Linked DNA regions of Yarrowia lipolytica. The protein of the gene in region 2 interacts with the protein of the main gene of each other region in a pairwise test. Links are inferred from orthologs where the notes say so. Each region holds a gene or a part of one and is shown on either strand. Other genes may lie near its edges. The genes, in order: YALI1_D36137g and YALI1_B27777g.

The links.
Region 1: the proteins of YALI1_B27777g (region 2) and YALI1_D36137g interact in binary tests that used the Saccharomyces cerevisiae proteins (3 or more experiments, as listed by UniProt). The link is inferred for Yarrowia lipolytica from reciprocal best matches to the Saccharomyces cerevisiae genes APL4 and APS1.

What each region holds. Positions count from the first base shown.
Region 1 is NC_090773.1:3,612,472-3,616,046, reverse strand, and holds YALI1_D36137g (uncharacterized protein), read left to right. Parts: upstream 1-1,821; coding exon 1,822-1,984; intron 1,985-2,447; coding exon 2,448-2,758; downstream 2,759-3,575. Other genes in the region: YALI1_D36161g (uncharacterized protein), read left to right, coding at 1-1,227; YALI1_D36122g (uncharacterized protein), read right to left, coding at 3,095-3,575. UniProt on the Saccharomyces cerevisiae protein: Component of the adapter complexes which link clathrin to receptors in coated vesicles. Clathrin-associated protein complexes are believed to interact with the cytoplasmic tails of membrane proteins, leading to their selection and concentration.
Region 2 is NC_090771.1:2,775,703-2,780,797, forward strand, and holds YALI1_B27777g (uncharacterized protein), read left to right. Parts: upstream 1-2,039; coding exon 2,040-4,460; downstream 4,461-5,095. Other genes in the region: YALI1_B27805g (uncharacterized protein), read left to right, coding at 4,840-5,095. UniProt on the Saccharomyces cerevisiae protein: Adaptins are components of the adapter complexes which link clathrin to receptors in coated vesicles. Clathrin-associated protein complexes are believed to interact with the cytoplasmic tails of membrane proteins, leading to their selection and concentration.

The DNA.
Region 1 (3,575 bases), on a different chromosome or scaffold from region 2:
GCGGTCGTGCTCATGTTCCTGCTCTACAAGCTGAGCTCCTCGTCCGTGGACATCAGCGGCATGGTATCCAACAGGACCAAGCCCGATCTGAACGAGTTCAAGACGGAGGTTGAGGAGACCAAGGACACAGTCGTCGAGCATGCCAAGGAGGCTGCCAATGACGTCAAGGAGGGCGCCGCGAAGGCCGTCGACTCCGCCCACAAGGTCGTGAACGCTGCCCCCTCTAAGTTCCAGCCCCTTACCGACTACCAGCGAGAGAACGCCACCTTTGTGACCCTGGCTCGAAACAGTGATCTGTGGGAACTGGTCGGATCTATCCGACAGGTCGAGGACCGATTCAACCACCAGTTTGCATACGACTGGGTTTTCCTTAACGACGCCGAGTTTTCCGATGAATTCAAGAAGGTGACCACCGCCATGTGCTCAGGTAAGACCCACTATGGTAAGATTGGCGAGGAGCACTGGGGATTCCCCGATTTCATTGATCAGGAGCGAGCTGCTCGAACCAGAGAGGAGATGCGACAGAAGCAGGTCATCTACGGTGACTCCATTCCCTACCGACATATGTGCCGATACGAGTCCGGCTTCTTCTGGCGACACCCTATCATGAACCAGTTCAAGTACTACTGGCGAGTCGAGCCCTCCATCAAGCTGCACTGTGACGTCAACTATGATGTGTTCAAGTTCATGCGAGAGAACAATAAGTCCTACGGTTTCACCATTTCTCTGTTTGAGTACGGCGCCACCATTGAGACTCTGTGGGAGACCACCAAGAAGTACATGCACCAGTTCCCCCAGATGGTCCACCCCAACAACCTGATGAAGTTCATTTCCGACGATAACGGAGAGACCTACAACAAGTGCCATTTCTGGTCCAACTTTGAGGTTGCTGACCTTGATCTGTGGCGAGGAGAGGCTTACTCCTCCTACTTTGACTACCTTGACCACGCTGGTGGATTTTTCTACGAGCGATGGGGTGATGCCCCTGTTCACTCCATTGGTGCTGCTCTGTTCGCCGACAAGGACTCTATCCACTACTTCGAGGACATTGGATACTTCCACAACCCTTTCAACAACTGTCCCACCACCGAGAAGATGCGACTGGATGGTCGGTGCATGTGCCAGGCCAGCGATAACTTCTCTTGGCACTCCTACTCTTGCACTGGCAAGTTCTTCGATGCTCAGGGCATGACCCGACCCGAGGGATGGGAGAAGCAGAAAAACTAAAAAGAGAAGGCTAGAGAGCGTTAACAGTAATTGCACTGGTTGTAGTTAATAGTTGAGAATTTTATTATATATAAAATAAGTGCGACAATTGTACGAGTACAAGTAATGGTGGCTGTGGATGAGCTACTTGTGATAGTAGCTACTTGTAAAAGAATCAATCGATTACATACGACCTTGTCGATTCTATTTTCTTTCAATTCTAGGGAGATACATTTCGTTCCAAAAATGCATGTGAACCGCTCGTTGTGTCATACAAATTGTACTTGTACTTGCTTATAGTATCGCGGTTGTTATAGTATGGTTTTGGGACATACACAGCCTAATTTGCATCTCTTAGCAGTCATTGAATTATGCCTAAGGAAAAAGATCACCGACAGGTAAATACCTCATCTAGTGACTTGATTTTTAATACTTCTCCCTTTTTAATCCCCTCCCTTCGCCTTTCAATAGCTCCAAGTAGCTACAAATAGTCCAACTCACGACAACTACAAGTAGCTTCACTCTGACTTCGTCGCCAATATAGTTTCATTGGGAACTGCAAGCGTGTCATCTGTCTTCACCACTCTCATCAAAGCATCTCAACACACACAACAAATGGCCATCCAATATCTGCTGTTGCTATCGCGTCAGGGCAAGGTTCGTCTGGCCAAATGGTTCACAACTCTCGGCACCCGTGAAAAGGCCAAGATCGTCAAGGAGGTTACTGCACTGGTTCTTTCCAGACGAACAAAGATGTGCAATGTCATTGAACACAAGGGTGAGTAAGATAAGGAGGACGTGACTGCGTTGGCTCGATGACTTACCAAGCGCGAGTTGGTTCACTTCTTGCTGAGCCACCGTCAGAAATTCTTCCAAGAAGAGTACCTCTACGAAACACCTCATCCACAATGAGTGCTGTGGCTTAGTTCATTGTGCTGTGAAGTGGCAAGAAGAGCGCTGCAGAGCTACACTTTCTTGGGGTCGGTAAAAATGGCTCACTGATCGCCGAGGTGTCTGATACCGAGCTATCGGAAACATTACAGCAGTAGTGACGACGCGAGAGAGAAAAGGAGCTGTGCGGCAGATGACGACAAGACTACACGACCCGTCAGAAGACTGCACAAAAGGAGTGGACAAATAAGTCACTTTGTATTGTTGATTCAATACTGCGGCAGTCTCCCAGTCCAGTGGGCAATGTTGTGTCCTCAGTGATGCACCACCACGAAAAAAGACTAACACAGAAACCAAGGTTGTTTTCAGACGTTATGCATCGCTATTTTTCATTACAGGCATCGACTCCGATGACAACGAACTAAACACTCTCGAAATCATTCACAGATACGTTGAGCAGATGGACAAGTATTACGGCAACGTGTGCGAGCTCGATATCATCTTCAACTTCCAAAAAGCATACTACATTCTCGACGAGATTGTGGTCGGAGGAGAGATCCAGGAGTCGTCGAAGCGAGAGGTTCTTAGACGAATCTCTCAGCAGGATGCTCTGGAGGCAGCCGAAAACGAGGAGGAGGGTCTGTCGAGACTATTGGCATAATTTGGGACTTTTAGAACATATGGGGTCGCGAGGTAGAATGAATGTACTCATACTAATACATGAGATGTATGTAGACAAATGGACAAATGAGTTTGGGAGCAGTCAGTTGCTCTGAAGCTCATAATATCGTCTCGGTCTCACAAATACAGTAGATTTACCCCTTTGTGTGTGTATGTGGTGAAGACCAAGTTACATAATCGGGTTAGGGTAGGACCCAAATACGGTGATTGCCGTGTTGTTAAATTACATCACAGTGCCTGTGAGAGGCACAAGTATCAAAATTGCGAGTTTCCGGTCAATTGGTCTATTAGTATTCGTCATCTATATATAATTTGCTTACTGGATGGTATGGGTGGCCTCAGCCTCCTTGAGAGTGAGCTTTCCGGAGTAGATCTCGTCGACTCGCTTGTTGATATCAGCGAAGGAGTGGAAGATGTTGTAAGGCAGAGACATCTTCTCGAGGTAGACAATCAGATCCTTGCCAGCCTTGGCGAACAGCAGATCTGTCTCCCTTGCGGCAGAGAGATCAGAGACACCGTCACCACAGTAGAACATGGTGGGTCGCTTGCCCTCGGGGAGCTCGGCGTAGGGCTTGATGCATCGGGACTTGTCGTGGCCAAAATGCGACTCGTCTCGGTAGACAATGTTCCACTCTCCATCAGGCTCGATCTTCACATCGTTAGCGATGATCTCAATGTCATCTGCGGCCTCCTCTCCAACCAGCTTCTTGAGCAGAGCAAAGATGACGGGCTTCATACCAGATGAAACCACGACCACGGGAATATTTCGTTCCTTGCACCACTTGTAGAAGACGGCA
Region 2 (5,095 bases):
ATTCTGTCGGAAGGGGTAAAAACACACAGTTCAATCCCTGGATGTCTGAGAGGAGGTATTCCCGAGACGCTTTGACTCGAGAAACTGCGTAATTCACCACAGCCCTTTTTAACCCTAGAAACACGATATTGCCTCAGACTCAAGTTCGAGGAGAGCTAACATTCAGGGTGAGACGTTGTGGAGGCGGGGGAGTTGTCTCATGATACTTAGATGAGTTCCGAACGCCTTGAAATAGTCGGGTGACAACAGACAGAGTGGCCTCGATGCCAGAGTCAGCTGTCTTTCTGTGTCAGTCCAGAGGGGGTGCAGTATATACAGTTTGAGGGGCTACCCTGTGGTTCAATCCGGTGTATGGTGCTTTACAGGATGGCAGGGTTATGAGATTTAATGGCGGGGTAGAGAGGAATTGGCACTTGTTCGAGCTCATAAAGAACATTTGGGAATATGCAATTATCAAAATTCGTCAGGGATAAAGCGTGTGTGGGTGTTGGATCTCCATTGAAAGAGGCAATAAGGGACTGACAACAATCTTAGAACTGTTGCTTGGAGAGTATGTATTTGAATATACGCTCTACAGAAGGATGGTAAAATGAAATATTTTATTAAACAGCCGTAAACGGGGGCTGACACGATGAAGCAGGCATTTTGGACTTTTACTCAACTGGTCGAAAGCTGGCCGATAGAAGTTGATCTGAACTTCATTAATTGTGCACAAGTGCTCTCTTCTCTTCTTGGATTTGAGAGCTGAAAAGGCTCAAATAATGACTTTTAGTAAGCCTTCAACTACTGGTTCTTTTCTCCAGCAGTGGAAGAGATACCCCAGGAGTTATGGGTAGCATTGTCATCGCACACACAGTTGATCCTCATGGTTGCCAAGGAAGTTGAGAGTGTCTTTCACGTTGAAAGAGTTTTTACCATCATTAGAGTAAGTGCCATCGACTCTAGAGGCATGATTTTGCTCTTGATAGCCATTCCGAGGCTGGTAACCTGAGAATCCCTGTCTCGCACACTTGCTCTGCGACAAGGACGTCAGACGTCGCAATGGGATTTCGAATTTTGCTACTGAGAAAGTCATATTAGAAAAAAGATGTTCCATCCACAATGGCATTCAAAAGTAGGACTGCGAGCCCTCAACAGCTCTCTACTAAGTGATTTATTGGAAGCGGAATCCACATGTGTGTACATAGCCCTTCTCTGATGGATTCTAAGAAGTCTTGCATACCACCTGATTACAATTAAGAAAAATCTCCCCAGTCATCGGGGAAAACATCACAATGGTTTCTCATTTCACTTCCAGTGCTCCGTAACCGGCCCTCACCCAGCACCCTATATAGACTACTATTTAGCTTTCTGTAGCGATGACCTTCTCATGAAACACAACTGAACCACATATCAACAGATTACACCAATGTATACATGGGAGATGAAGATGGAATTACCTGTATCGTCCATATTTATCGTTTGAATACAATGTTTGGGTCAAAACGCGTCGCCTGGCACTAATTAAGGAGTCCCCTGCCCCTTGCCTTTTTCAAAGTGCCAAAGTAAACCTCACATAATACTTGAACAATTGATACTGTAACATAATTTCCACTCCAACATCTACCTCTAAATCAACCCCAGGTAACTCAATTTCTTTCAAAATATGTTCAAGTGTATTTTCAAGTGTATACGCACAAATTTTACTGCAATAGATGTCAAGGGATTGTCCGAATCGCCCACTTTATGGACATACCCTTCGTTAAGGGTCCACTTGAACAACCTCAAACAATTACTAAACTACGCACTGAGCTGCGCGCATATCTGAACATAACGTAATGTATTTTCCACGACCACAATCCATAATAAAAATAGTTACGTAAATAGAAATGGACAACAATTATGCCTTATTTGTCACATCAACCTGCTACAGTACCTCCACCACCCCTGGTTCGTAACACATCCACATTCTCAAACACACAATTATACACAACCCTAACCCTACACCCAATCTCAAGACACGTTGCGTCAACATCTACAGTTGGCAACATACCACAGAAATGACGTCTCTGAAATCGTTCATCAAGTCCGTGCGTGCGGCCAAGACGCTAGCAGAGGAGCGGTCGGTGATCCAGAAGGAGTCTGCCGCCATCCGAACATCGTTCCGAGAAAACTACGTCGACCCCAACATTCGAAAACAAAATGTGGCTAAGCTGTTGTATTTGTTCACCTTGGGTGAGCGAACACATTTCGGTCAGGTGGAGTGTCTGAAGCTGATTGCTAGCCCGCGCTTCAGTGAGAAACGTCTGGGATACCTCGGTACTATGCTGTTGCTGGATGAGAACCAGGAGACCCTGACTCTGGTGACCAACTCTCTGTCCAACGATCTCAACCACCCCAACCAATACGTTGTGGCTTTGGCCCTGACCACCTTGGCCAACATTGCATCCACCGAAATGGGCCGGGATCTGTTCCAGACCGTCGACAAGATCATGTCGTCCAGCAACCCCTACCTGAAGAAGAAGGCTGCCGTGTGTGCTGCTCGAATCAGCAGTCGAGTGCCTGAATTGGCAGAAATCTTCGTCGAGAAGGCCAAGATTCTGCTCACAGATAAGAACCACGGCGTGCTGCTGTGCGGACTCACTCTGGCCACTGACATTTGTGTCCAAGACGACGAGATTCTCGAGCAGTTCCGACCCGTCGTGCCGACTCTTGTCAAGCTGCTGCGCCAGCTGTGCACCTCGGCTTACGCTCCCGAGCACGACGTGACCGGAGTTACCGATCCGTTTTTGCAGGTCAAGATTCTTGGTCTGCTGCGTGTGCTGGGAGCTGGAGACGCGTCTGCCTCTGACGCCATGAACGACGTGCTTGCCCAGGTGGCATCCAACACCGACTCCGCCAAGAACGTCGGCTCCTCTGTGCTGTACGAGTGCGTGCGAACTATTTTCGCCGTCGAGGCAGACACCGGTCTGCGAGTGCTGGGTGTTAACATTCTTGGAAAGTTCTTAGCCACCACTGACAACAATACGCGGTACGTGGCGCTCAACACTCTGCTCACAGTCATCGACATCGAGCCCGCAGCCGTGCAGCGACACAGAAACACCATTGTCGAGTGTCTGCGTGACGCTGACGTGTCTATCCGACGACGAGCTTTGGCCGTGGCATACGCTCTCATCAACGAGAGCAACGTGCGAGTCATTGTTAGAGAGCTGCTGACATTCTTGGAGTCTGCAGACGCCGAGTTCAAACCCTCGGTCACCGCCCAGATCGCCATTGCTGCTGAAAAATACGCTCCTAATAAGCGATGGCATATTGACACTCTGGTCCGGGCTCTGGCTCTGGCTGGAAGTCACGTCCCAGAGAATGTGGTCTCTTCGTTCATTGCTCTGGTCGTCACCTGCGACGAGGAGCTACAGCTGTACACTGTCCAGAAGCTGTACTCAGCTCTGCGGGCCGATTTCACCCAGGAGGGTCTGTCCCTGGCCTCGCTGTGGCTGCTTGGAGAGTTTGGCCACATTCTTATTCGATCCGGCAACTTCTCGTCGGAAGATGGAGAGTCCCAGGAGGTATCCGAGGAGTCTGTTGTCACCATGATCGAGAACCTGCTCAAGTCTGCCTACGCCTCTGATGTTGTGCAAGAGTACGGAGTCAACGCCCTGGTTAAACTCAGCACCCGAATCAACAATGCTACACAAAAGGAGCGGGTGCGACGAATCCTGGAGTCGTACGCTTCCTCTCTCAATGTGGAGGTCCAGCAGCGATCTGCCGAGTATACAAAGCTTTTCTCCAACATGGGTGTGGCCAAGGGTGTGCTTGAAAAGATGCCTGCTCCCGAGCTCAAGAACGATCTTGGCAAGAAGTACGCCAAGCCTAAGAAGGCCAAGAAGGTGACTGCTTCCAAGAAGGATGTCGACTTGCTGCTCGATCTGGTCATGGACGCCCCTGAGCCTGCTAACGGAGGAGGATCTTCTTCCGCAAACAACTCGGATCTCCTGGCCGACATTCTGGGACCCTCTTCTCCCTCTGGAGGTGCGTCCGTCGCCACCCCTAGCTCCAATCAAAACATTATGGATCTGTTTGGCTCAGGCGCCCAGTCATCCCCCGTCTCCACACCCGCCTCAGCCCCCGCTGCTGCGGCATCTACAATCTCCGCATACTCCGGCAACGGCCTGTCTCTGGGCTTTTCCGCTGGAACCGCCCAGGGCCTCACGGTGCCCATCACCGCCCACTTCTCCAACACCGGTGGCAGCCCCATCTCCAGCATTTCCCTCCAGGCCGCTGTGCCCAAGACACAGAAGCTCGCTCTGCAGCCACCAGCTTCCCAGAGCATTGGTCCTGGCAGCACCACCACTCAGCAGTTGCGAGTGACGGTACAGGGTGCTGGTGCTGCCGTCAAGTTGCGAGTCCGGCTGGGATTCTCTGTCAACGGCCAGCAGGTCCAGGAACAGTTTACCTTTGACAAGTTTGGTCAGGTGGTTTAAGTGGTATAACAATAATAGAGGGATAATAATCTATACTGTGTTGCAAGGAATTCAGTTTCAATCGGTATACTGCGTTGCAGTATAACTGTCGTAAAATGTATGTGATAGATTACATAAGCTAGAGATGTAGACTATAATATGGCGCACAGATAAGTGGAGATATAGTCATGTGGCCATTGAATTCGCACCGAAAAAAATAGATCAGATTAATATAATAAAGTACCCACAAATATCCCTACTTCATCCTACAATTCCCCGGCTAATTTTTCATTCTTCATCCCACGACTTTAACTTCCAACACCTCATATCATCACCGGTCGTCGAAACTCAATTTTCTCCATTGATTCATTCATCAACACACACAAAAAAGACAAAAAAGATGTCTGACAAACGACGAGCCGATCTTTGTGTGCCCTACGTGCATGTTGTCGACAAGCAGAACGACGCTCAGTCCTTCATCACCACCTCGCTGCCCATGGCTGCTATGTTCCTTCGAAACAAGCTCATGTCGTGGACCGCTCTCTTCACCGCCATCACCGCCTTCATGAACGAGCCTCTGATCAAGCCTACTCAGAGCGACGGTGCTTCTCAGCCCGCCTGGCTGTCTGTGCTCGTCTCTCTCGTTGGTCTGTTCA